7 linked regions of the Mus musculus genome follow. The protein of the gene in region 6 interacts with the protein of the main gene of each other region in a pairwise test. Links are inferred from orthologs where the notes say so. Each region holds a gene or a part of one and is shown on either strand. Other genes may lie near its edges.

The links.
Region 1: the proteins of Trim23 (region 6) and Gpkow interact in binary tests that used the Homo sapiens proteins (3 or more experiments, as listed by UniProt). The two-hybrid records come from large-scale screens. The link is inferred for Mus musculus from reciprocal best matches to the Homo sapiens genes TRIM23 and GPKOW.
Region 2: the proteins of Trim23 (region 6) and Trim27 interact in a two-hybrid assay, tested with the Homo sapiens proteins (2 studies listed by BioGRID and IntAct). The link is inferred for Mus musculus from reciprocal best matches to the Homo sapiens genes TRIM23 and TRIM27.
Region 3: the proteins of Trim23 (region 6) and 4930432K21Rik interact in binary tests that used the Homo sapiens proteins (3 or more experiments, as listed by UniProt). The two-hybrid records come from large-scale screens. The link is inferred for Mus musculus from reciprocal best matches to the Homo sapiens genes TRIM23 and BRME1.
Region 4: the proteins of Trim23 (region 6) and Troap interact in binary tests that used the Homo sapiens proteins (3 or more experiments, as listed by UniProt). The two-hybrid records come from large-scale screens. The link is inferred for Mus musculus from reciprocal best matches to the Homo sapiens genes TRIM23 and TROAP.
Region 5: the proteins of Trim23 (region 6) and Card9 interact in binary tests that used the Homo sapiens proteins (3 or more experiments, as listed by UniProt). The two-hybrid records come from large-scale screens. The link is inferred for Mus musculus from reciprocal best matches to the Homo sapiens genes TRIM23 and CARD9.
Region 7: the proteins of Trim23 (region 6) and Aqp1 interact in binary tests that used the Homo sapiens proteins (3 or more experiments, as listed by UniProt). The two-hybrid records come from large-scale screens. The link is inferred for Mus musculus from reciprocal best matches to the Homo sapiens genes TRIM23 and AQP1.

What each region holds. Positions count from the first base shown.
Region 1 is NC_000086.7:7,695,880-7,699,933, reverse strand, and holds the start of Gpkow (G-patch domain and KOW motifs-containing protein), read right to left. Parts: upstream 2,801-4,054; 5' UTR 2,709-2,800; coding exon 2,539-2,708; intron 1,442-2,538; coding exon 1,281-1,441; intron 1,179-1,280; coding exon 1,054-1,178; intron 1-1,053. UniProt on the Homo sapiens protein: RNA-binding protein involved in pre-mRNA splicing. As a component of the minor spliceosome, involved in the splicing of U12-type introns in pre-mRNAs.
Region 2 is NC_000079.6:21,189,931-21,192,576, reverse strand, and holds part of Trim27 (zinc finger protein RFP), read right to left. Parts: coding exon 2,607-2,646; intron 2,486-2,606; coding exon 2,453-2,485; intron 1,985-2,452; exon of another isoform or gene 1,891-1,984; intron 1,358-1,890; coding exon 1,331-1,357; intron 548-1,330; coding exon 1-547. UniProt on the Homo sapiens protein: E3 ubiquitin-protein ligase that mediates ubiquitination of various substrates and thereby plays a role in diffent processes including proliferation, innate immunity, apoptosis, immune response or autophagy.
Region 3 is NC_000074.6:84,165,038-84,168,537, reverse strand, and holds part of 4930432K21Rik (uncharacterized protein C19orf57 homolog), read right to left. Parts: intron 1,958-3,500; coding exon 848-1,957; intron 1-847. UniProt on the Homo sapiens protein: Meiotic recombination factor component of recombination bridges involved in meiotic double-strand break repair.
Region 4 is NC_000081.6:99,077,973-99,080,940, forward strand, and holds part of Troap (tastin), read left to right. Parts: intron 1-274; coding exon 275-351; intron 352-663; exon of another isoform or gene 664-676; coding exon of another isoform or gene 677-725; intron 726-811; coding exon 812-930; intron 931-2,832; exon of another isoform or gene 2,833-2,893; coding exon 2,894-2,968. UniProt on the Homo sapiens protein: Could be involved with bystin and trophinin in a cell adhesion molecule complex that mediates an initial attachment of the blastocyst to uterine epithelial cells at the time of the embryo implantation.
Region 5 is NC_000068.7:26,351,687-26,354,798, forward strand, and holds the end of Card9 (caspase recruitment domain-containing protein 9), read right to left. Parts: intron 2,720-3,112; coding exon 2,671-2,719; intron 1,329-2,670; coding exon 1,255-1,328; intron 876-1,254; coding exon 799-875; coding exon of another isoform or gene 726-798; coding exon 626-725; coding exon of another isoform or gene 607-625; 3' UTR 501-606; downstream 1-500. Other genes in the region: Dnlz (DNL-type zinc finger protein), read right to left, coding at 87-326. UniProt on the Homo sapiens protein: Adapter protein that plays a key role in innate immune response against fungi by forming signaling complexes downstream of C-type lectin receptors.
Region 6 is NC_000079.6:104,177,478-104,181,638, reverse strand, and holds the start of Trim23 (E3 ubiquitin-protein ligase TRIM23), read right to left. Parts: upstream 2,801-4,161; 5' UTR 2,759-2,800; coding exon 2,678-2,758; intron 566-2,677; coding exon 403-565; intron 1-402. Other genes in the region: Trappc13 (trafficking protein particle complex subunit 13), read left to right, coding at 3,480-3,525.
Region 7 is NC_000072.6:55,334,984-55,339,098, forward strand, and holds the start of Aqp1 (aquaporin-1), read left to right. Parts: upstream 1-1,315; 5' UTR 1,316-1,507; coding exon 1,508-1,891; intron 1,892-4,115. UniProt on the Homo sapiens protein: Forms a water channel that facilitates the transport of water across cell membranes, playing a crucial role in water homeostasis in various tissues.

The sequences.
Region 1 (4,054 bases), on a different chromosome or scaffold from region 6:
TCAGGATGGCCAGAGGATCTCTGTTATACAGAGAAACCCTGTGTCAAAAGGAAAAAAAAAAGCTAAAAAGCTAAGAAGCTGAACTCAAAACTTGACTTCCACAAACACACTTTCCATCTCTTTTGCTGTCATTTCTTCATTCCTTTCCAATGATACAGCACACTGCAAGTTGGCTCAGATTGACCCATAAGTGTTGCTTTCTTGGGCTGTTGCTGCCATTAAGAGTGCCCACTCTGAGCTGGGCGTGGTAGAGCACGCCTTTAATCCCAGCACTCGGGAGGCAGAGGCAGGCGATTTCTGAGTTCGAGGCCAGCCTGGTCTACAAAGTGAGTTCCAGGACAGCCATGGCTATACAGAGAAACCCTGTCTCAAAAAACTAAAAAGTGCCCACTCTGATCATTCTTCTCTCACTAAACCCTAACTGTCCTTCCAGCCCTCACTCCAGCCACTCCTATGAATGTGTGTGTCCTTGTGACCTCTATCCTGCATTAGGTTCCTTTCTTCCTTCCCTACCTTCACTTCCTAGTCATTTTTGGTCAGGACAGACAATGGGGACCCTGTTATAACCCTTGTCTGCTCAAGACATCCCCTTAGCTCTCACTTCACTCACAGTAAAAGACAGGAGCCCTCTGGAGCTCAGAATGCCCTTTCTGTCCTGCCCCCCTCTGCCTTCATCCACTGCCCAACCCCTCATCATTCACTGCAATCCAGTAGTAGGCTTTCTCAGTGCTCCTCAAACATGCAGTCTGAAATCAGACCAAAGAAAGAAGGAAAGAGGAAACAGGCCAATGCGGCTCCAAACAATGCACAGCCTCATGGCACCTGTACGTCCTGTCTACTTTGTTGTCCACCTCATTCACATCATCCCAGAATTCAAGTACGTTTTTAAAATGCCCTATCTATTTTGTTAATTTTTCTAATAAGAATGGAAGGAGGAAAGGCTAATTGGCAGGGCTTAGGGACACGCACACACACTTTTCCGGCTATGTGCAAGGAGGCTAGGCAGCCAGGGCAGAGGGAACAGTGTAGGAGGGAGGTAGAGGGGCCGCTCACTGTCTCAGCCTGAGGTTCGCTGTCTGATCCTTCCTCAATGGGAGTACATCCTTTCTGGATCATGGGGATAGTGAGCGTGGGGTCAACACCTGCATTCTCCCTCTCCTCCAGAGACTTCTTGGATTCTAAGGAAGAATGGGAGGGATCAATGAGGCCACAGCCTATCCTTCCAACATCTTCCCCTTCTATCTGCACTGGGGCAGAGCAAAGAGACAGGGTCCACTCACCCTCAATGAGTTCCTTCACAGCCTGGGACAACACACCGTCTGACATCAACACGGTGCTAGTTTCTGAGGATGGCTTAGGGTTCTTGGACAGAGGTTGCCTGCGAGAGCCATTCTGGATCAACGGGATAACCAGCTCCTTGGGGGCTTCTGGAGGGTTCACACTTATGTCGGGAGAGAAAAAAGGTTGGGAAAGTAGACATGTCACAAAGCAGAAATATCAGGCCGGCAGTGGTGACGCATGACTTTAATTCCAGCAGCACTCAGGAGGCAGAAGCAGGAGGATCTCTGAGTTCAAGGCCTGCCCGATCTACAGGGTGAGTTCCAGGACAGCCAGGATGCAGAGGAACCCTGTCTTGACGCCCCCTCCAAAGAAAGAAAGTATAAATATCAAGATAGAAAGGAGGTTAGGAAACAAAGAAAATCAATTTCAATGGCCAGAAAGAAAGAAAGAAAGATCAATGCCCAGTCCTATGGACCATGTTCACAGGTTACTATTCACAGGTCCACTCGTTTTTTTTTTTTTTTTTTTTTTTTTGAGACATCTCACGATTTAGCTCAGGCTGGTCTTATAAACTCTCAGTCAGCCTGGTGCAATCCCCTAGTGCTGGAATTACAACCATGGATCTCTTTAAGTATGTCTTGTGGGAATCAGCCTTAGGCCTTCAACCACAATGGCCTAAAAATCACCATCTTTAGTCCAGATTCTTCCCGGTTCCGGGCCGGCAAGCTGCCTTTTACAAGTCCCCCACTTAGGCCTTTCGGACCTTTGTTTCTTACTTAATTATACTGCTGATGGCCTCCCCAGACTTGAATTTGCCTAGTTCTCCAAATCGGAGAAGCTCCCACAATTTCAGCTGAGACAGGAAGAATCCTGTCATTTTTCCCTCCTTTCCCTTTCTCAAAAGGCACACATACTCAAGTCCCAACGACATTTTTTCTGAGGAATCTATACCTCTGGTTCTCAGGCCCCATTTCACCCACCTAACAAACCTCCCTCTTCTTGCCCTTACATTCTTATGTTCTTCCTGTTTGTTTTTTAGTTGCCCAGGCTAGCGTTCAATTCCTGATCCTCCTGCGCCAGCCTCCCAGGTCCTGACTTATAGGCGTTTGCCGCCACTCCTGGTTACCTCCATAAATTTCCCGAGGCAGTGTTTCAGGCTTTCCAGGCCACTGTCACCAGGACAAACAACTCTTACTCTGCCCTCCTGCTTAAGCCCATTTCACAGATTTCCAAAACGCGAAAGACCCGGCGTTTCACCTCTGCAGCTTCCTCCCTTCCACGGTCGCCAAGAAATCTTTCTCCTCTGGGGCCTGTCTTTCGCTATCTCCGAGGTCTGCCAGTCGCCTCCGGACAGACGTGCGAGTGAACCCGAAAGAAATTGGAGCCATTGACGGGGCAGACGGCGGCGGACTCTCACGGCCCGCCATCTTCGCTCGAGTCACAGGCGAGCGCTCCGCTTGCTGGGAAGTTTAGCTCGAGCCGTGAGGGGCTGGCCGGGAAACGTAAGAATCAATCCCAGCATGCAACGCCTCAAAGACAAGTGCCTTGTAGCCGTGGGAAACAGGAATCAGGGCGCAGAAACTCTTTGAAACGTCATAGGAACGTGCCATACGGCATCCTGGGAAATGTAGTTCTCAGTGGTATAGCCGCTGTGGAAGATTGATTAGGTTATTCCTCGGTATTCAACCGCTATGAATTCAGTTCTAGAGTATCCTATACCCTTTCCCGACATCCTCAGGCACCATGCACGCATGTGATGCACGAACATAAATTCAGGCAAAATGTTTATATACACAAAACAAAATAAATAAAACTCATAATGTGCTTCCACAATGTGAACCTTACTGATAGAGGCTGGAGGCTTCCAGGGCTAGGTCTACTTTAGCAGATGAAAGCAGTAAACCATGGAGACAACAATTACATCAGGCAAATAAAAGTTACATTTACTGCCGGGCAGTGGTGGCGCACACCTTTAATCCCAGCACTTGGGAGGCAGAGGCAGGCGTTCAGGACAGCCAGGGGTACACAGAGAGACCTTGTCTCGAACCCCCCCCCCCAAAAAAAAAAGTTTCATTTACACAAGATGACTTAATGGGTAATAGTGTCTGCTACAAAAGCTGAAGACCTGAGTTCTTGAAGATCCTACATAGTAAAAAGATAGAGTTAGCCACTAGTTGCCTCTGACGGCACCACAAGTGCCATGCTATGCATGAACACATATACATGTAAACATGAACAAATGAATAAAATATGAAAACAAATTTTATCTAATTATATGTAAAGTGAATAACTGTGCAGTGGCTGGTTTTGTGTGTCAACTTGAGACAAGCTGGAGTAGTCAGAGAGGAAGGAGTCTCAGTTGAGGAAATGCTTTTTTTTAAAAAAAGATTTATTTATCTATTATTATCTGTAGCTGTTTTCAGACACTCCAGAAGAGGGAGTCAGATTTCATTATAGATGGTTGTGAGCCACCATGTGGTTCCTGGGATTTGAACTCAGGACCCATTTGGAAGAGTAGTCAATGCTTTTAACCACTGAACCATCTTGCCAGCCCCGAGGAAATGCTTCTATAAAATCCAGCTATAGGGCATTTTCTCAATTAGTGATTAATAGAGGAGGGCCTAGCCCATTTGGGTGGTGTTATCCCTGGGCTGGTGGTCCTGGGTGCTGTAACAAAGCAGGTTGAGCATGCCACAGGGAGCAAGCCAGTAAGCAGTACCCATCCAGGTTCCTGCCGTGTTTGAGTTCTTGTCCTTCAATGATGAACAGTGAT
Region 2 (2,646 bases), about 83 Mb from region 6:
AACCCATCAATCCCACTCATAGGGCAGATGATCAAAGGAGCTGCGCTCTTCCCTCCCGAGTAGCTTAGGCTGAAGTAGGGCCGGACTGGCCCACAGAAGGTAGCGTGAGAGAAAGTAAAGGTATGGCATCTCTCTGTCACATTGTAGAAGGAAACCTCACCAGCATCATAGTCCAAGAAAATCCCTACTCTCTGGAGAGGGGTCCGCAGGGGTAGTGCAGTCATTGGGGATGTAAGAGCCCAATATTCTTTCCCATACCACAATGACACTGCCCAGAATCCATTCTGGGGGGCTGAGGTCACCCCACCTTTTCTGCACACCGAGTCTTCACAGACACCTATGGTCCACTTGGCTTTATCTCCCACCTCTACCTCCCAGTAATGTCTCCCAGCGATGAAACATGGAGAGCCCAAGACACAGGGAAACAGATTGAATCGCTCAGGGTTGTCTGGAAGATCCTGCTGGAGGTAACTGTACCGTACTTGCCGAAGATTATCAGAAAGAATCAGACTGGGATAGGCTGTGTCTGGGTCCAGGGTTACATCAACTGTAGAAACAAAGGGGGGGGGGTGTCATCTGAGGGCCAGAAGAGCCCACTCAAGACTACCTGGTATTTCACTGACTTCCCCAGAACACTGTAGGAGATGCCCACCAGAGGCTGTACTCATTATATATCAGACACACGGTGAACTGATTATGTAAAAAAATTCTCTTGGAACTAAGCATGGTGGCACACGTGGAGACTGAGGCAGAAGTTATCTTCAGGAGTTCCAGACCAGCCCATGTTGCATGGTCAGTGTTACATAGTAAGACCCTGACTCAGAACCTAAAAATTTACGGTTAGATTAGCTGATTGCCTCTGTATGGATAACAATGAAAGTAATACAATTTTACTTCCCACTCCTTTTCTCACATCTAAGGCTCAACCTCCTTCGGAGATTTCATTTAAAGCTTCTTTACATATGTCTAATTTCTGAATTTGAAAACTTTGGTGGCCAATAGTTTTAGCTAAAGTTTAATATTACCACCTTTCAAATCATTCTTGTATTTGTTCTGAGAATTTGCCTTGAACATCCACTCTTTTAAGTTTTTCCCTTTATCTTTTTTGAAACAGAAATCTATGTGGATTAACTAAGTAGCAAAAAAATGGCCTTAAACTCCTGATGTCCCTGCCTCATGTTCCCAACTACTGGGCTTCTGGCTGTATGATATCTGTGTATATGCAACTAAAGGATTCAAACTTGAGGCTGTCTCAAAGCACTTATAATAGTGGTCAGGCTCATAGGGCTTTTAATCCTTTCTTCAACATGGTTTGTCTTCAGGTACCTACCTGAGTATAACTGAGCCTCTCTCAACTCTGAAAGACAAGAGAGAAAAGAAGTTACTGAACCTGTGTGTCTTTCTAGGAAACATGTTAAGTGAAAAAACAAAAAACAAAAAACAAACCATAAAGCAGTGGAACCCACTAGCATTGCAGAACGCCTGTGTCAATTGGGTACTGATTTTCATTTGATGTTATGACTCCATATCTGCTTATCTGCCCAGGAATTTTTTTTTCTCTTTTAGAAAGACAGTCTTACTATGTAACTCAGGCTGACCTGAAACTCACTGTATGGCCAGGCTGGCTTCAAACTCATGGCAGTCACTGCTGATGAGCTGTGAGGTACTAGGTTTACAGGCATGCACCACTATGCTTTGCACATGCAAGGATTTTTAGGGTTAGGGGTTTGGGAACCTTGGCTATACAGATAACATGTATGAACTTTGTAAAACATGGTATCACACTGAGCCAAGATCAAGAATTCCACCCTCCAGAGAGCCACTGGATTCTGCAAAGGCAAAGTTCAAATGCATGACATATAATATATATAACTCTTAACTTGTACGAACCATCTTTGCTGTAGAGGCTGGGTGGCTCAAATGACACCCACTGCCATCATTAATTTATGTGGGGTTTCTAGCTGGCCAAGGATTTCACACAAGTCTTTGAAGTGGCAAAGGAAGAGGAAGAGAAAGAAGAATCAGATCAAGGAAAGCCACTTCTGGTTACTAGCCACCGAACTAAACGTAGCTGTGGATATGGCGCCACACCTGTAACCCCAGAGGCAGAAGGTCTGAGGCAGGAGACCGGTGAGTAATAGGCTAGACTGGGCTACACATTATGACTGTCTCAACCAAACCCAAACTAAAGCAACGGTGTCAGGTAGGGAAGCACATGAATAACGTGTGCGTGTGTGTGCGTGTGCGATCACAAATGTCATTACACACGTGGATTCTGTTCTTTCCTTATACCTTTGTATAGGTTCCAAGTAGCAGACTCAGGTCGACAGGTTTGCCCAGTAAGTGACTGCACTTACTGAGCTATCTTGTTGACACCCCCTGGACTGTCTATATACTCGCTTCTTTCCAAGAAACTTAAAATGTCAAGAGCTCAGGAAATAGGTAAATTTACCTTGGATCTTCTCCATATCTGACTGCATCTTTTCTAAAAACAAAAAAAGAAGAGATTCGGTTTATATGACTCTTAACTGGTTAGAAAATCCATCCTCAGATGACAATGATAACAACACACTCAGAATATAAACCCACTCTCTTCCTCATATTACCTGTGAACTGTTTTAGACTTTCTGTCAAAAACAGACATTT
Region 3 (3,500 bases), on a different chromosome or scaffold from region 6:
TAGATCAGTAAGTATCTCAACAGAAGGCTGTGGTACCATGTGAAATATTGGCTCTTTGGGAGAGAACTCTCGTAGCCTGCTGGAAGCCACCCAGCTCCCTATTCCAAGGCAGAGGAGATTTGGACTCCAGGAGATGTAGGTGTACCACAAGCTCCTCCTCTCCAGCAGGTGCCTAGCCTCCTTCAGCCCCTCTACTACACACTATGTAGGAGGGAGCTGCCTAGTTTCAGGGTCTGGCAGTACAGCCCTTTGTCAGACCAAGTGCAGCAGCAGAGAGCAGGGCTTCTTTCTCCCATGGGTGGGGCTAACAGGTAAACGTGAAGGCTGACCTAGGCTCAGAGGCCCAGGTCACATCTGGGCAGTTGTGGGTGCACAAGAACCTTAGGAACTACAACACAATTACGCATGTGCCTGCAGAAAAATCAGTCACGATTCCCAGCAAGCTGCAAGAGCATGCGGGCTCTTCCAGCTCAGCAGTGAGCTCCCTCTCCTCCGTCTGATGTGAGGACACTGGCTTCTTAGGTGTGTTGATAATGGTCTTACACAGCCCCTTGCTAGCCAGGGGCAGATGCTGGGCATGGGTAGCACATATGAGGGCTCTAGTTATGGCAGGGAGGCCCCAGACTGACAGGCTTCCTATCTCTCCCTATCCTGTGCAGCTCCTTAGCAGCCACAGAGGCCAGGCCCACACAGATAGGCCTTTGACAAAAACCAGGCTCCACCTTGCCCAAAGCTGCTATGATTCTCTGCCCTCAGACATCTATGTTGTATAAATAGTCAGACACATTAGCCCTATCTTGTCACCTAAAGGTGACAGGGTGTACATTTGAGTACAGAAAGCTCTTACCTGCTCCATGTTAGTGGCATCCAGGGCATCCTGTATCTGGCTGTCAGGCAGGAAGTCTAGTTCCATTGCTGAGGACTCCTGCCATGCAGCCTGGTCTCTGGGACAGGGAGCTGCCAGGTGTACAGGAATGCCTGGGCTGCTGTGACAGTCCTTGGTGCTCTGGGGAGGGTCACTAGCTGCACAAGTGTGCTCTAGCTGAGAGGAGGTATGAGGGGTACTGAGGCCCTCTAAGTCTTGATCACAAGTTAGGCCACGTAACTCTACCAACATCTGATTCATGGACTGTGCTGGTAAAGGCAGCATTCCTATATCTCCTGGCGACTGCTCATCAGAGCCAGAGTCCTTGGTCTTGACCACTGGATCCATTTCTTGGGCTATATGGCCGGAATCTCCAGCTTCCGTCACGGGCTCTTGTTTCTCAGGCTCTGTCTCAGTGAAGCTTGCCAGGGTATCACCATGACACCTCTCTTCCCATCTGGCCTCCTCTCTGCCTGCTGTGGTCTCCTCAGCAAGAGGTGTGGAGCTCAGCAGAGTTCCAATGCAGCCTCCATCAGGGATCTGCTCATCCAGAGAGCCCAGCAGCTTGGCCACCTGTGGAGCACTCTGTTGCAGCACAGAGGGATCTAAGCTCACTTCTGTAATGACAGTGTCCATAAGAGAGGCATCTGCTGGGCTGGTGGAGCTGGGTGCTGCAGCTGTGCTGCTGAGAGTATATGTGGGGACAGAGAGGTCTTGAGCCACAGACCAGGTGGGCTCTGAGGCAGGAGCTAATGCTGATGTGTAGAGGATGTCCTCTCCTTCCTGGGGTTCCCCAGAATGCTGGGCCCCTGCTTCCCCTCCTTGGGCATCTCTTTCCTGTGGGTCTCTGCTGTCTGCCTCCCTGCCTTCAGCAGCAGCATCTGACAGGGGGCTACTACTGTCTTGAACTGTGGCCATCTCAAAACCATTGTTCCCCAGGCTTCTATTATCTAGTGAGATTGTCCTCTCCTTTGAAAGGGTTCCATCTGGCTGTGTCTGGACTTCTGGTCTGATGTCATGGGGAGGGAACCTCAGGGACTCTCTCTGTGGCTGGCTGGCTGCTTTGAGGGCTCCCAGCTCTGGCCTTGTTTCCTGTGGAAAAAGAAGATTCAGTCCTGGCCTTCAATAAGCAAGCACTCTGAAGAACTTTCTAGTTGGAGATTTCCTAGTTGAGGATCCCGTCCTCAAGATCAGATAGTTGTATCCACCACTAGGTACCACAGTGGGCTCTAGAAGCTACTCTAGACAGAGCTTTCTGCTAAGGCAGGAGGAGGAAAGTACACAGGCCCCTCATTTTATGCCAGCACCAAGCACTCAGGATCTCAGAATATAAAAATCCAGGTGGTAGGCTGTGGGGTGACTCCATAACAGAGCATTTGCCTAGTTGCACAAAGTCTTGAGTTTTGTACCCACCCCAGCGATTCAATGAAGGGCTTAAAGTCTCTCCTGCCAGTTGGCCCAGTGGTACAACTCATTAGCTTATTAAAGTATTTATGAGTGTGTGTTTGTGTGTGTGTGTGTGCAGGTACACACTCACATGTACCATGATGGGGGGCAGAGGACAACTTGCAGGAGTCTCTCCTCCTATGAAAGCTCTCAGATTGTCAGATCTGGTGACATGAGACTTTACTGGCTAATCCCACCAGCCACTTATCAGCTTAAGATACACCAGAGCAAATGAGATAGCTCAATGGGTAGAGGTGGTACTTTCTGACAAGCCTAATGGCCTGAGTTTGATCCCTGGAATCCACATGGTAAAGAAAACAGACTACACAGACTTGCTTTCTTCCACATGCACACTGTGGCAGAGGCACCCACACACACACATACGTATAGGTAATTAAAAAATAATACATCATTAAAAAAAACCCAGCTGGCATAGGGCTGGAATTGGTAGCACACATATATCATCACATTTAGAGGCTGAGGAAGAAATTCAGAGTGTGAGGCTGGGCTGGAGTACAAAGTGAGATTCTGTCTCAGAAACCCAATGGTGGTAACAATAGAGGCTTTCTGCTGTGAGGTCACTGTAGTCATGCTGTAACAAATGCTACATGACGTTCCTATTTACTCCCATCTTCCAGTGTTGACACCCTGTGTTGTTCAGGTATGACATCCGGGTCTGGATATGAGTTTGGTGAAAACCTATCTTGCAGCTGTGGTAGCACATTCCTGTAATTCAGCACTTGGGAGGCAGGGGTAGGAGAATCAGGAGGGCCAGTCTTAGCTACATTTGACCTAACAATCTCTCCTTCTAGAAACTGCCACCATGATGAGGATGCTAAACAGCCCTGGCATCAGTGACCCTCCACTCAAGCTACTCTTTGTTTTGTATACCTTGGTTTTTGAAACTGGGTCTCCCTGTGCAGCCTGACTGGCTTGGAGCTTGATACAAAGACCAAGCTGGTGCAAACTCAAAACACATGCTTCTGCTCCCAAGTGAGAATATCTTTTAAAATGTTTATTACTGATGTGTGTATGATTGGCTGATGCATGATTGTTAATGTGTCAATGATGTGTGTATGATGTATGATTTGTTTATGTGTATATGGGATGTATATATGACTCTGATGTATGCTGTATATTATATGTGTATGGCATATATTATGTGATATATATGGTATGTATGATGTGT
Region 4 (2,968 bases), on a different chromosome or scaffold from region 6:
GGGTTCAGACTTTGACAGCTGAGCCTTATCTATGACATGGAGGACATGGGGAGCGCTGCGTCATTTGGCTACAGCGTAAACTGACAATAGATGGCTTTTGAGTTCAATTCCTGACCCTTACCACTACTAGCTGTGCAAGCTCACCTTAACCTGCCTGCGTCTTGGCTTCTGCATCCCCATCGGCCAAGTGAGGTTAACACTGGTACTGTTAGAGGCTACTGCGCTGGTGTTTGCAAAGCCCTTAGCTAATGCCCAGCCCTTGCTTGGCACTCAGGGACGGGGACTGTACTGACAGAAGGACCTCAGCAAGCCAAGCCTCAAGACTGCTCCTGAAGACCCCGGTTCAGCCTGGTGAGTTTGTGTGGATGTGGGAACAAAGGAAGGGTGAGTGCCTGCACCAGGAAGGCAAGGGTCAGCAGGCCTCAGGGAGTGGGGTGAAGTAAGGGAGAGGTTGGAGGGAGGTCTGGCTCAGTGGTGGCGTGCTCCTCCAGCATTCACATCCCAAAAACACACACACACACACACACACACACACACACACACACACAGCAGACAAGACCTCCCGGGAAGGTCAGAGGTCAGCCTAGTTGTGCGTGTATCTCTGTTTCTGCCCTCTCCCTGCCACTTCCTGCAAGACAATGTCTACTGTGTTCTCTGTCCCAGTCCCTTGTGAGCCATGGCCACCAGCCCACCCAGGGCATTGGGATTGATAAGTGTTTGCCAAGGTATTATTGTGCTCTCGGGGGATGCTGAACGGGTAGACTTTGGTGTTGTAGATACTACAGGAAATGAATGTCCTGTCTCCTCCCAGCTTCCTTACCCCTCCGAGGCGAGCAGGAGGCTGTCCCTCACTCCGACGACGGAGGGGGAAGACATCATCTGGGTCTGGCTCAACGGATACCATTAAAAGAAAGTCTGACAAACACCAGGGTGAGCCGAGACCCTCCCAGGATGGGGAAGGGGTGTTCAGGAGGCACACTGAGGGTTGTGGGTAGAATTGGCAGACCCGGGACTCAGGGTATTTGGTCTTTTGCTGGAGTTGGGACCAAGCCCTCTTCAGGGTAGATCTGACTTCCTTTGTTGGGTATCTGGGACCCAGGGTGAGAGATGACAGACTGTTATGTGTGTCACTATCAAATCAGTACAGTGGCTTAAACATGGCCAACACTTACCAACCAAGCATTAATTCCTTCATTCCACTGGCATTTGCTAACTGGCTTTTGGATTCAGCCATGGTTCTAGTTCCAGAAAAAATATATGTGTGTGTGTGTGTGTGTGTGTGTGTGTGTGTGTGTGTGTGTATGTGTATGTATGTGTGTGTGTGTATATATATATATGTGTGTATGTGTGTGTGTGTGTGTATATATATACATATGTGTGTGTGTGTGTGTGTGTGTGTGTGTATATTCTAGAAAGGGGGGCAAAATAATAAAAGACAAAATAAACCCCACCCCACAAATGTAAAATGAAATATATAGGATGTCACATGGTGACATGTTCTTTCTAAAACTAAATGTATAAGGTACTGAAAGGACGTGGGAGAAGGATTGGTGTCATAAATTGGTAGTTTAGAGCCACGCTTGGTGGAACATGACTGTAACCCAGAGGAGGCAGGAGAATTGCCTGGGGCTGAGCCATCGTGAATTCCAGGACAGCCTCGGCTATGTAGCAAAACCCTGTGTTTAAAAATAGAAGGTGTGTGTGTGTGTGTGTGTGTGTGTGTGTGTGTGTGTGTGTGTGTGTGTGTGTGTAGGGGAATGGATGAGTAGGGCTGGCAACTTAACTCCCATTGGTCAACTTATAACTGCCTGCCAGAACTTATAACTGCCTGCCAGCCAGGCATGGTGGCGCACACCTTTAATCCCAGCACTTGAGAGGCAGAGGCAGGCAAATTTCTGAGTTCAAGGCCAGCCTGGTCTACAGAGTGAGTTCCAGGACAGTCAAGGCTATACAAAGAAACCCTGTCTTGGGAGAAAAAAAAAAACCTGCCTGCCTGTAATTCCCTCTCAAGACATCTGATGCCCTCTTCTGGCTCACATGGGCATCCAACACATACATAAATTCGGGAAAAAAATTGTTTAATGTTTACAAAGGGCATGCTAAGCAGTCTTTTTACAAAATGTAGTATGGCTAAGGCACTGTCATTGGGAAGATAAGGATTGCCTATGAGACCAGAGTTGAGGCTGTGACTCAGACAAGATGGGGAGGGCTGCAGATGCAGAAGCCCCGAGGAGAGGAGACATCTAGTCTTTGTGAGTTGGCAAAACAGACCAGAGAGGTTGAAGCCTAGACGAGAAGAGGGTCTGAGATGAGTTTGCAGTGACGACAGGTGAGAGATGAGGTAAGGACAGACAAACCAGTGTAAGTTCTTGGTAAGGACAGACGAACAGAGCACTTGTAAGTCCTTGGTGAGGACAGATGGACAAAGCACTATAAGTCCTTGGTAAAGAGCTACAAACAAGTTTAAGTTCTCTGCTCTTTCTTGGGCTGAACAAGAGTCAGGGGGAGATGCATGAATAGGGAGAGAGAGTTGGTTTCTCACTTGAATAAACCACTCAAGCGCCGCACATCGTGGCAGTGTGCCTGTACTCCTAGCCTCTTCCCTACGTGAGCCCCCAAAGAGTAGCTGCTGCAGTGGGGAGAACAGGAAGGTAGCTTTGGGGGCCTCCACTGGACGGTGATGGCTCCCATCTGCTGCCCTCCCTCCCCCATTCCTGCAGCCCAGTTGTATAGTACCACCTTCCATCACCGAACAGTCAGCTGTTTATAGACAGTCTCAGGGTGTTCGCTCCCCAGGCCTCTCAGCTGTGATTTCTATCAACAACCCTTGGGCTGGGCAGGATGAGAAGAGTTTGGCTGGAAGCCCTGCTCAGCCAACCACCTCTCTCCTCAGAGCACATATTCATCCATGAAACGCTTTGCCATTCGACGGAAAGCCCAATTCACACCCCTCCGATCGCTACCTAAA
Region 5 (3,112 bases), on a different chromosome or scaffold from region 6:
TGGTCCGAAGGATACTTCCACGTTTCTGCCAGGACCCTACACCAACAGGAAACCAGCCAGCACCAGGTGTTGCCGACAGCGCCCACCTTGCAGGTGTAGACGAGTTGATAGTGGTCCGCTTCCACGCGCCCCAGCGCCGCCGCACGCCCTGATCCCGGCGCGGAGCTCGAGCTCCGCCAGCCCGAGGCCCAGCCCCAGGCCCAGCCCCGAAGTCTCTCCGCGGTCTTTAGGCGAGCCCCCAAATCCCAAAGCCGCCGCGGTCCGGAATCCCGGGTCCGCACACTACGAAGTAGTGTCGGCATGCGGCTCAGCGCTGTCCGCAACATCCCGCCTGCGAATCCTTAGCCACCTTTTCTTGCACCGCCCCGTGAAGCTGCGTCGACCATTTTGGTAACGGGCGCAGCGGCCGGAAGCGGCCCTCTTCGGCTTCCATCCGCCACCGGTGCACTGCTTTCTGTTGCCCCCTGGTGTCGCCCCGCTTGCATATCCAACCAACAGGCTCAGCTCGGTGATTATTTTATTTAGTTGCATTTTCTAATTCTAATACAGTAAAAAAAAAAAAAAAAAAAAAAAAACCGCAGCATCCTTTCACAATTCCACAGATGCTCAGCCTCGGCGCGGTTCGCTAGGAGCCCTCGGTGTCGGTGTTGTCGCTGCCTGTCGTATTCCCGCGATCCCCTTCTCCCTGCCGCCAGCTGTTCTGCATCTTGCGGAGCGCCCGCTTCCTGTGGGGCCCGCAGTGTGAGCAGGTAGGCACAGGTGTCCCACCCGCCAGCCGTCCTGCCCGCCGCCCCACACCTGCGGTAGTTCTCGAAGCTCTCCTTGAGGCGCCGCCGCTCCTTCTCCGGGGGCTCGCTGCTGCTGGGCCCCATGCCCTAGAGAAGGAACGGGGCCGGCAGCTGGACAACGGGGCGGGCAGCTGGACACCGTGGCCTTACCACGGCAGCCCTGGGACTCCAGCAGGTGTGGAGCATAGCTAGCTGGCCGTGGGGTCTGCTGGACTCCGAGATGACTGAGCGTGGGGTGACAACCCCTTTGTAGCCAGGTGAGTGGAAGACTTCTTTGCAGTGAACAGCAGTATGGGTGTCCTTACATTGTCCCCTCCCCTGTCCAACCACCCCACTATCCAAATGTTACATCCTACCCATACACTACCAAAGACCTTGTGATCCCCAGCTGTCCAGTGGCGTCACCCTCCTCCCCAGGATCAGCCATGTAGTAACCAGGGCTCTTGGGAACCCCAATCAGCCTTACATGGGTCAGTGAAAGATGCTCCTTGTTCAGAGCCATAAAGGGCTGCTCTGGGCTCTCCCTGTCTGCCAGTACACCTGAAAGGAAGATCTGTGCTTATGGGGGCCCCATCTGGTATGGCCACCTCCCTCTGCAAACAGCCCAACTAGCATTAGCCTAGGTCAGCCTTACGGGCTGGGACCTTTGCATGAGTCCAGTGGGGACTGCATTTCACAGAAACAGGCTGAGCCCTTGACTGCTACATCAACAGGGCTCCTACCATCAGTCACCCATACCGCCCAAGCTGACTGTCACCAAACACAAGGACAGATGGCTAGGAAAGACTCCAGGTCCCCATGATTATTTGCGAATGCATGCCCCAGTCCATGTCCCTTTTAGCTTGGCAACATTTTTGTGTCTAGTGGTTCCCATGGGTGGTGTGGGGGCAGCCTCAGTGGAGAGCTCAGGGCATCGGGGGCCTGGGTTAGTGCAAGTACACCATATTAATTAGAAGAATAATCATTCCAGGTAGCCAGAGCCAGCATGCCCCAGGTCCTGGGCAAACCAAGGCTCAAGCCTCTAGGTAGAAGATGTGCAGGGAAGGCTATGAACATCAAGAAACAATTATATCCAAGGAGGGCTCAGGGTGTGAGAACAACCCCGTCCCAGCAGCCCTGCCCCCTTCCCCTCTCATTTTCGTTGTGCCTAACTGTTGGCATGCCTTCAAGGGAGCTGGCTGCTCTTGCATCCTTCTCCTTGTGTGCCCACATGGAGCTCAGTGACCTCAGGTTGGGTCTTGGGGGCTGCAGTGGGTGACCCGTGCTTCTCCATCTACACCTCTTGTTCCCCTTTTGCCTTTGGTTAGAGCCTGGGGTAAGGCTGAGCTGAGGAAGTCTGTCTGACTTGTCACGAAAGCTCCCTGGGCTCCTCCCTGCGCCAGACCCTCTCGCCACCCACCCTCAGCTGCCCCAGCTGCCACCCCCCAGCTATTAGATCAGAGGAGGGTCCCGCCTGTCAGCCTGCTGTGGATAGCACAACCCCCAGCTCCTTGCTTGTGGCCCTGTCCGTAGCTCTATTCCTCCCCTCCTCATTGAGCACACCTGGGTACTGGCTAGTATCTCCCCCTGCAGGAGGAAGGCTAGTGGGGAAAGATGGGCCTATGAGGGATGGGGCCTCCACAATCACTGTCCTCTGAGCCACAGACCCTGAGACCTAAGTCCCACATTCAAATCAGATTCCTTATTCTCCGGGTGTGTTAGTCTAAGAGTTCTGCCCTTCACCATTGACTCTCCTTGCCTTGGGGAGTATCATCCTTGGCTGGAGTGGTGTGAATTCTGAGACAAAGTAAGTGACACAGCTTTACGTGCTGAGGATGGGCCAGGGTTAGGGAGGCCAGGAGACTGCAGCCTACATGCCTCTGATAGTACACGGTATCCTCACCTTTGTCTGAGAGCTGGGCATCCTCCTCCAGATCCTGAGGCAGTGAGAGCTTCCAAACAGAGACACGCCACCCAGTTAGACCATGCTACAAGCCACCATTGCCCTTCCTGTACTAAGTGTGGCCCAGCCCACTGCCCGCTTGACTCCAGCTCCTCAGTTGACACAGCCATCACTATCACCCCTCTGCACAGAGATTCTCAGGGACTCCGTCCCAGTCAGGCCAACAGGCAAAGGAAACCCTAGCATGAAGCTCTTGTCCTGAGAGGCCAGGATATGGGACATTAGTCTATGACTCACTTCTCACTTCGCTCACAGCAACAGCTTAGAGTTTGGCCAGCACTCTTCCCTGAATCCAACCCAAAATGAGAGAAAAGGGACAGCCCAGTTTAAGGGGACAGGACCATGTGGGAGATGAGTGTGAGGTCAGGTAGAGGTTGAAGGC
Region 6 (4,161 bases):
ACGAAAGGAAGGAAGAGAAAAAAGGAAGGAAGGAGTGAGGGAGGGAGGAAATACTGAGAGTTGAATGACTTTATATTTTGATTACCTTTCATTTAAAAAAAGAAACCATGTTCTGTATTCAGAGCATTAGTAGGACTTAACCTGGGATGAATAAAGTAGTCTCATTTCTTTGAATAAGGGTAGCATATATTTCTGATACTTCTTAAAGCTTTTTGTGTTAAGCATAGCTATGGAAGTTTCAGATTCCCATGGCAGTTAAGAGTGGACCTCATCTACCTTAGTAGAGACTCAGATTGTGAAAGCTCTTTGGAACGTAACATAAAAAGTCAGGTGTAAAAATTTGTTTTCTGTGACATTTGTGTTTGAATAATTTTTCACTTTAACCTCATATAATTTTCCTACCTAGGTCTGTTACTTGTCGATCAAATGGGCAACGTATTGCTCTTCCATGCAGAGGCAAGCGAGTAAGACAGTCATGACAGACTGTGTGGCCACAGAGGAGGAGGCGAGGAACTTTATCTCCTTGCAAAGAGAAGACATCTTCACAAACCCCACACTCCAGAACCTGTATATAAAACAGAAACATGTGCCCTGTAAACACTACTGAAACAATATTCACATATTTTAGATTTAAAAACAATTGACCAAGCCAGGCATGTTTCTTAGTATTTTAAAACCTAAAATAGAGACACCCTTGCTTTCTTCTATAGATAGATAAATTATTCAATTTTTGACATATAGTATGACTCCATTAATCTTTTACAAGTTTATGCTATTTTCTATGTGTGGATGTGTGTGCACACACATATATAAGGTGCCACAGAACAAGTATGGAGGTCAGAAGACAACTTGATTCTCTAATACATTTAGACTTAGAAACTGAGATACAAATTTCTTTTACTACAATTAAACTGGTAATTTGTAGTTACCTCACATACTGGTAATAATTCAAAAGAAACTTAAATGTGGTATAATTCATAGGGAAAAAAAAGAGATAAATACCTGCTAAATGTTAAAGAAAACTTTATATTAAGATTTCAGTCTAACTCATTAGAGAACAAAGAATAACTACATCAAGATATTTTTTTCAAAAAGTTGTTAAAGTTTTGTATTAATAGAAGTATAGGAAAACAATTTCACTGACTAATACAAAAAGTCTATTGACTAATAATAGCATTCATGGACACAATTTAGCAGTACTTATGGAACTTACTCTAAACTGCGTCATACATACATGACAGGATCCAAGTGCTTTCTTCTTTGTTGCTATTGCTGTTTCTGCCACTGGGAAATCTCAGGTTCCTGCACATAGCAGGTAAATGGTCTACTAGTGAATAACATCCAGCCCACATATGACAAAACCAGTGTGTAACTCTTTAAAGCACTATTTGTATCATTAATTAAAAACAAGGAAAGATACATATAAATACTAAATTGAAAGGGAAATTATAGTGCATTCATATGCCATAACTACAACCGTTATGTTTTTCATGTACATATGCAGAATACTTTATGAGTAAAGTAAAACGAAGTGTTAAGGAGAATTAGACATGATATTCCAATTATAGGAAAAGAATGACAAAATATTCTGCAAGTATTCCCATTTGGCAAAAACACAATTCAAAATATTAAATCTCAATAAGCACAAAATATGCTTAATGAGGGCTTCTCTAAATTTCATTAATATAAAAAGTTAACTGATTCAACACCAATAAAATACGACTGATAATACATCGTAGGCATATATTCCTCAAAAGCAGACCTTTGCTATAGAGAGAGACAGAGACAGAAAGAGATATCTACCATTTAACGAGTTAAAAGAATGTCCAACCAGACTTGGGTTCACTGTTATAAATCCAAGTGTCCATTAAAATTACTTCTGGGAATTAAAAAAATGTCCTGTCGTCAACACACTCAGAAAGAGTTGTTGTTTAATCTCTTGGCAACAGATAATCTTTCCGAGTGACTCCCTAAAACGCCTGCCCCTTTTAGATCTAGGTTACAGTGGGTGAGGAAAATGATCTTCACACTTGCACTTAATTTTTAGTAAATGTAGCTCGTAAATAAGTAGACGGTAGAATCTTCTAACCAGAGAGTTATAAACTCCATACATCTAGTGTTAAAGCCCAAATGTGCTGCAGTTGGAGAGTTCAGAAGTTTCCAGTCTCTACTGTTCAGGGCAATGTTGAATGGCAGACGTTGACAACCAGTAAACTCTGAGCCCTTAGCACATACTGTATTAACTTAAACCTAGGGTTCCTCCCATGTAAAATGCGATTTAACATCTACCTTTTAAGTAGATATTTGCGAGCTGAACCATCTACGACAGTACTTGTCTATTGCAATAAGTGTTTAATACAACCAAGTCAAGTAAGTAACGCCTGTTGAGGCATCACTAGAAACAGAAGACTAGGGGAAAGACCAAATAAATCCAGGTCAACTTTCACGCGATGCTTTTCACAAACAGCCCCACGGACAACGTTGACACTTGAGGTAGAAGACCAGGCAACTTCAGCTCCGCGGGGCAAGGACCGCGGAAGGGCGGAAAGGCTTGTAACGCCCACCAGAGGCCGCGCATCCCACCCGGCCAAGCCTGGGCCACACAGTCGCGGCCAGGTCTCCAGGACGAACCGAAGGGAGGCCGCAGGTGGAGAACAGAGCACGCAAGTTCCCTCACCTTCACCACAGCCGTCCCCCGGCTGCCCTGCCGCCCACTGTCTACTCCGGCTCCGGGCTTGTTTACAGCGAGGGCAGCCATCCTGGATGGAGCCGCGCCACAGCTGCAGGAGAGCCTTTTACTGAGAGGAGGGGTTGAGCGTCCTACCCAGAAGCCTCGGCGCATGCCGCCCTCACGCATGCGCAGGATAGATGGCGAGCCGTTCGGTCCCTTCTGACCTTTTCTCTCCCGTCAGTCATTGGCTGTACGGCTTGCGCGTGCGCACTGTTTTTCATGAAAGCATCTGCGAGTAATGGAGAGGAGAAATTTTTTTTTTTTAAGTATGGAACATAAATAAAATTTTATGGTGAAAATGACATTCCTGTAACAATATTTTTTCTCTAGAACTGAAACGAATCAGAATAAAGGACTGAGCTACATGCCACCTGCCCCGCGTACACTGCGAAATTTGTATATGATGAACTACAAATCCCAGCATGCCATGACAGTAGCGCCCTCCCCCACCCCCACCGGGCAATGAAAGCTTTTGGGAAGCCGCGAATTGTCAGCAAGAAGTGGATCGTTGTAGTCAGCCTTAGTGGTTGAGGCAAGTGTGTGCTTCTGAGCTAAGGAATGGCCATGGTACAAAGATTTCACTGGGGCCGTAAAGGATTTAGTGACAAGAGAATTTAAGTCCTCACGAGCAGAAAGAAGTCGGGCGTGCGTTTGAAGCCCGATCTTCCGGGACCTGTGCTTTGCACTTTCCTTCCAGACCCGGTGAAACTTCAGCCTGCGTAGGCTGAGGTCAGAAGTGCCCGCCAAGATGGAAGTGAATCCCCCCAAACAGGAGCACCTGCTGGCGCTAAAAGGTAAACTTGCTAACCTGAGACTCCTCACTCTGTTGTTTGCCTGTACCCTCATTGTGCGAAGGATCCCCGAAGTAGGCCTTGTCCCTAACCCCGGCAACTCGCCTTCCTGCTCTTCCTGGAATGAAATGCGAACCCAAGCTCTGAGAGGTCTCTGCTACCGCAGCCACCACGTTTTGTCCACTGAAGCTCACGCGCCTCGACCCTGCCGCAGAGATCTCTGTGAACCAGCATAAATTTCAGCTGGCATTTGATATGTTTTTTTCAAAAATTGCTCCTAAATCTGTCCATGGCGCAGGGATGAAGTTACCAGAATTTAACTTATCTGTAGATAGTGTAGCACGATAATACCAAGGATTTGAAATAAGTGGAACTACACCTAATACTTCTTAGATTTGTTGAAATATACTACAAATTAATTCATACTGTAGTATCATGTTTGTGGGAAAATTGACTAGACTATCTTAACAACTTTAACTGTCTATACGCAGAAGTTTTGAATACGTTTTAATGATTTAATTTGATCAGAAAAAAAAAGATAAGAGGTCAGATTTTCCTTGAATTTGCTTATCGATAACCTTTTATTTAAAAACATTTTCAGCCTCTTTTTTATGTTTGCTACTGCCACAATGCACTTTC
Region 7 (4,115 bases), on a different chromosome or scaffold from region 6:
TCAGACTCAAAGACATTTCTTCTTTCTCAGTGAGTGTTGTTTTTCCACCTCTGATGGGTAAGAAGCCAATGATTCTGATAAGGACTAAGATGGAAAGAGAGGGACCAATCATAACAGGTCCTACCTTGTGGCCACAGAGAGAGCCTCCCTATGGGCCTGGTATACCTTCCAGCACACTCAAACAGTAGGCAAGTGACCGACCAGTTCTCTGGTCCTTTACTCGGGATTTTGGGGGTACACAGGAAACATGGTGGGTGCTTTGTCTGCCCCCACCTCCTCTCCACCCCTCCTGGTGTTGGAAAGTGCCTCTGGTCTCCCTTACCTTCCTCTCTCCTCTTTCTCTATCTAGATTCTTGTCCGGCCTATGTCTCCTCTGCTCCGTTTGTCTCTTCCTGTTTCTGACGTGCTGTTTTTTCCTGTGATGCTAGTGACTGAATCCAGTGCCCAGTTGAATATTGTATGCGTGAGCACATCCATAGCCTGGCCGCTGTCTCCTGCAAGGCTGGAAACCTCTTCCACTTTCCACCATCACTCGGATAATGCTTCCTGTTGCTCTGCCTATCATCCCATCACTGCATCTGTCTCTTAGCCCCAGCCCATGTCTCCCATTCGCTCCTTTTCAGGTCCAGCTGTCATTCCTTCCATCTCTTCAGTGACCTGCTAGCTACTTTATCTATTAGAGAAAAAAAAAAAGCCTAAGCAACATTATCTTCCCCACCCCCTCTCAAATCATGGCCTCAAATTGTTTTAAGTTTGAGGAATTGGGGGAGTTTTCCAGCAACCTTGCTTGGCTAAGGTCTGCCATTGTCTAAAGAATGATAGGTGGCTCCCAGAAAGCTTCTCTACTCCCATCAATGAGGCCCGGGGGGCGAGGACACATCCCCAAAGTGACATGCAGCTGCTTGGCCCAGGCCAGGACATTGGAGGCCAGACTGGCCCACAGATTTCTCAGCCTGAGAACTTCAGATTACTAACTCTGCTCAGAGTGGGATGGGACAGGCAGGCAATTTCTGGTGCCACCTCCAGGGAGGGCAATGTCCGTCTGGGGAGTCCAGACAACCCCTATTCCCCACCCCTTCTAGAGTGCCAGCCTCTGCCCTCAGGCACCCTTGAGCTTTGCAGGCTGGGCGGGGACACCTGGATTTCTCTGGCCCCCTGAGAAGAGCCAGCTTGGAAGAATTTCCCAAAGCCTATTAGAGCAACGGTTGCCTCCTGCCTCCTTACGCTGGGCAGGGCCGAGGGCTGAGGCGGGTGGAGGGAGCAAGGGAGGGCAGGAGGGGGAGAGGAGGAAGGAAAAAGTTGGCAGGCAGACAGCAGAGCCCTGTCTGCATCCATCGCAGCGAGGAGGCTCGTGTGGTGTGGGGCGGGCCAGGAGCAAGGAGAGGCCTTCCTCCCTTTGTGCTCCCCCCACCCAGCCCTATAAATAGGCCCAGCCCAGGCTGTGGCTCAGCTCTTGGAGGGAGTTGAGCACCAGGCATCCAGCGGTTAAGTCGAGGTCCCTGCCAGCATGGCCAGTGAAATCAAGAAGAAGCTCTTCTGGAGGGCTGTGGTGGCTGAGTTCCTGGCCATGACCCTCTTCGTCTTCATCAGCATTGGTTCTGCCCTAGGCTTCAATTACCCACTGGAGAGAAACCAGACGCTGGTCCAGGACAACGTGAAGGTGTCGCTGGCCTTTGGTTTGAGCATCGCTACTCTGGCCCAAAGTGTGGGTCACATCAGCGGTGCTCACCTCAACCCTGCGGTCACACTGGGGCTCCTGCTCAGCTGTCAGATCAGCATCCTCCGGGCTGTCATGTACATCATCGCCCAGTGTGTGGGAGCCATCGTCGCCACGGCCATTCTCTCGGGCATCACCTCCTCCCTAGTCGACAATTCACTTGGCCGCAATGACGTGAGTGGGGTATCTTAGGCTTAGGGTGTCTGTAGGAGAAGACAGAGAGGGAGCTGGCTCCATTTGCCTACTGTACAAGGGGGATACTGAAGAACAGAGAGAAGGATGAAGGTTTCTGGAGTCATGCTGAGAACTGGGGCTAGAACTCAGTTGTACTGCATGGTCTCTTTGCTGGTTGGTGCTGTGAGAATGGAGGAGCTAGACAATATGGTTGTGCCAAAGTCCCCTGCAGAGTAGCTACTGCCAGGAATGAGCTGGAGGGGCAGCTAGGTGCATGCCAGCAGTTCCTCCCCTCTTCTGAGCTACCTGAGCAGTCACCTTCCCCCTTTGCAGTCCCGTGCACTAGGCAACCTCTACCTACTGTCCCGAGTACATTTTCTCCAGCTACCCAGTGTGTTTAAAGCCACTTCTGCAAGTGTCTGAGTGTGACTCTCTTGATAAGTTGCCTGGGCTTCTAATCGGCTTCTAATCCTTAGCCAGGTCCCCAAATCAACTTCCTCAGAAAGTCAGGAGACAGCCCCCTTTCCTCCCTCTACCCCCAATAATTAGACAAAGTTGAGAGAACAATACTCTCTCTGGAGCTTTGGGAGAGTTTTCTAGATACCAGTTCAGGAGAAGGGCTCAGCTCAGCAGTCCCTGGCCACTGAACCGTGGGGCATGCTGGCTTGTTGTGTGCGGAGGTGGAAGCGAAGGTGTGTGAGTGTCTGCTTGGGTCCTGAACTTGTGTAAGCTATTTTCACGTTGATGCTGTGTTGTTGGAGAGTGTGTAAGCACTTGTACCCATTGTTCCTGGCTTTAATGATAAGCAGACGCTGGCAACAGTACGTGGCGACTGCTCAACATAACTGTCTTTGGGCTACTCTACATGACTAAGTGGCCTCTGTGGTGGCTGCCTGGCCACTGACCTTTTCCAGTTTCTTAGCTAAGTGCCCATGATGACTGAGTTCACTTGGGTTTAGCAGGAGTATCTGAGTAAGGGTGTAGGGTGTCTCAGAATGGAATAGGCTGGAGTCCCTCACCAGAGGCAAAGACTAACGGCAGAGTGGTAGAATAAGGTCCAGAGAAACGAAGCTGGCTGGACCCCAGCAGGGTAGATGCATGGGGATAGGCGCAAGGGCGTGAGCCAGGACTCTGTCCGGTGAGTTGGATAGCTATGCGTGATTAGACATCTTTCGTTTCCCAGCTGAAGTTCAGGTCCTGGAGATGCAGACCAGGAGGAGGGAGGTGAAAGTCTGGTGCAGAGGGCAGCTGCCGTGGCTCTGCTGCAGGGATGAGCACTTCTGTACCACAGTGACACCTCACCATCACACTTTTAAGTCAACCTCTGCTCAGCTGGGGATTGAAGATTAGCCCCATGGCTGGAGTTTAGACTTTAGCTGGAGAAAACTTGGAGCAGGGTTAGACGGGCCGTGTCCCTCTAGACTTCAGTCTCTCCAATAGGAGCAGGGCTAGGTGCCTTAGTGAATTCCTTCGAGGAGGTTCGAGTTGCTACCGAGGTGGGGGATGGGGAGGATGGAAGCAGTGCCTGCTCCCTCCTAGATCTTGTCTCTTCCAAGTCAAGTGACAGGCAAGACCTATGCCCTTGCTGGCAAAGGCTTTGCATTTCTAATACGGTCATCCAAGGTAGAGGCAGAATGTGATTGCTTTAGCAGGCAGCACCTGAGCCTGGCTACACCCCACTTCAGACTCCTTACCCCCCTTCCCCAGTTTTCCAGAGGTGCCAGAGTATCTGTGTCAGGCAAGATATATACAGCTGAAGGAGAAAAAACGCTTCAGGCCAGTGTGAGAACAGCTTGGGGAAGAAGGCAGGCACCCTAAGCCCTGTTTGTTGTTAGCCACTGAGTCTTCCTGGAGGTGAGCATCCTGAGGTTCACAAGCAGCCTAGGTTCTGGGGTCATTCCTGCTACTCTGACACTACTGGCTTATATTGTTGGCTGGAGCTAAATTACTGACCCCCAAAGGGCTTGGCTAAGAGGACCCCCAGCAGCGGCATCAGAGGAGGGACCAAATATTGTGCTGAGGTTCCTACTATCTCATCCAAACAAATAATGAACCTTTGACATGTGGCTCTCTTGGGGCACTGGCTCCTGGTTATGGAGGGGCTGGGAATGGCCTCAGTGCCTTAGAGGAACAACAGTCAGTGGAACAGGTGGCAGCCTCTCCCCTCTACTTCCCCGGGGAAGGCTCTCACAGTCCCTCTGCTCTTACCCTCATCCTGCCGCCA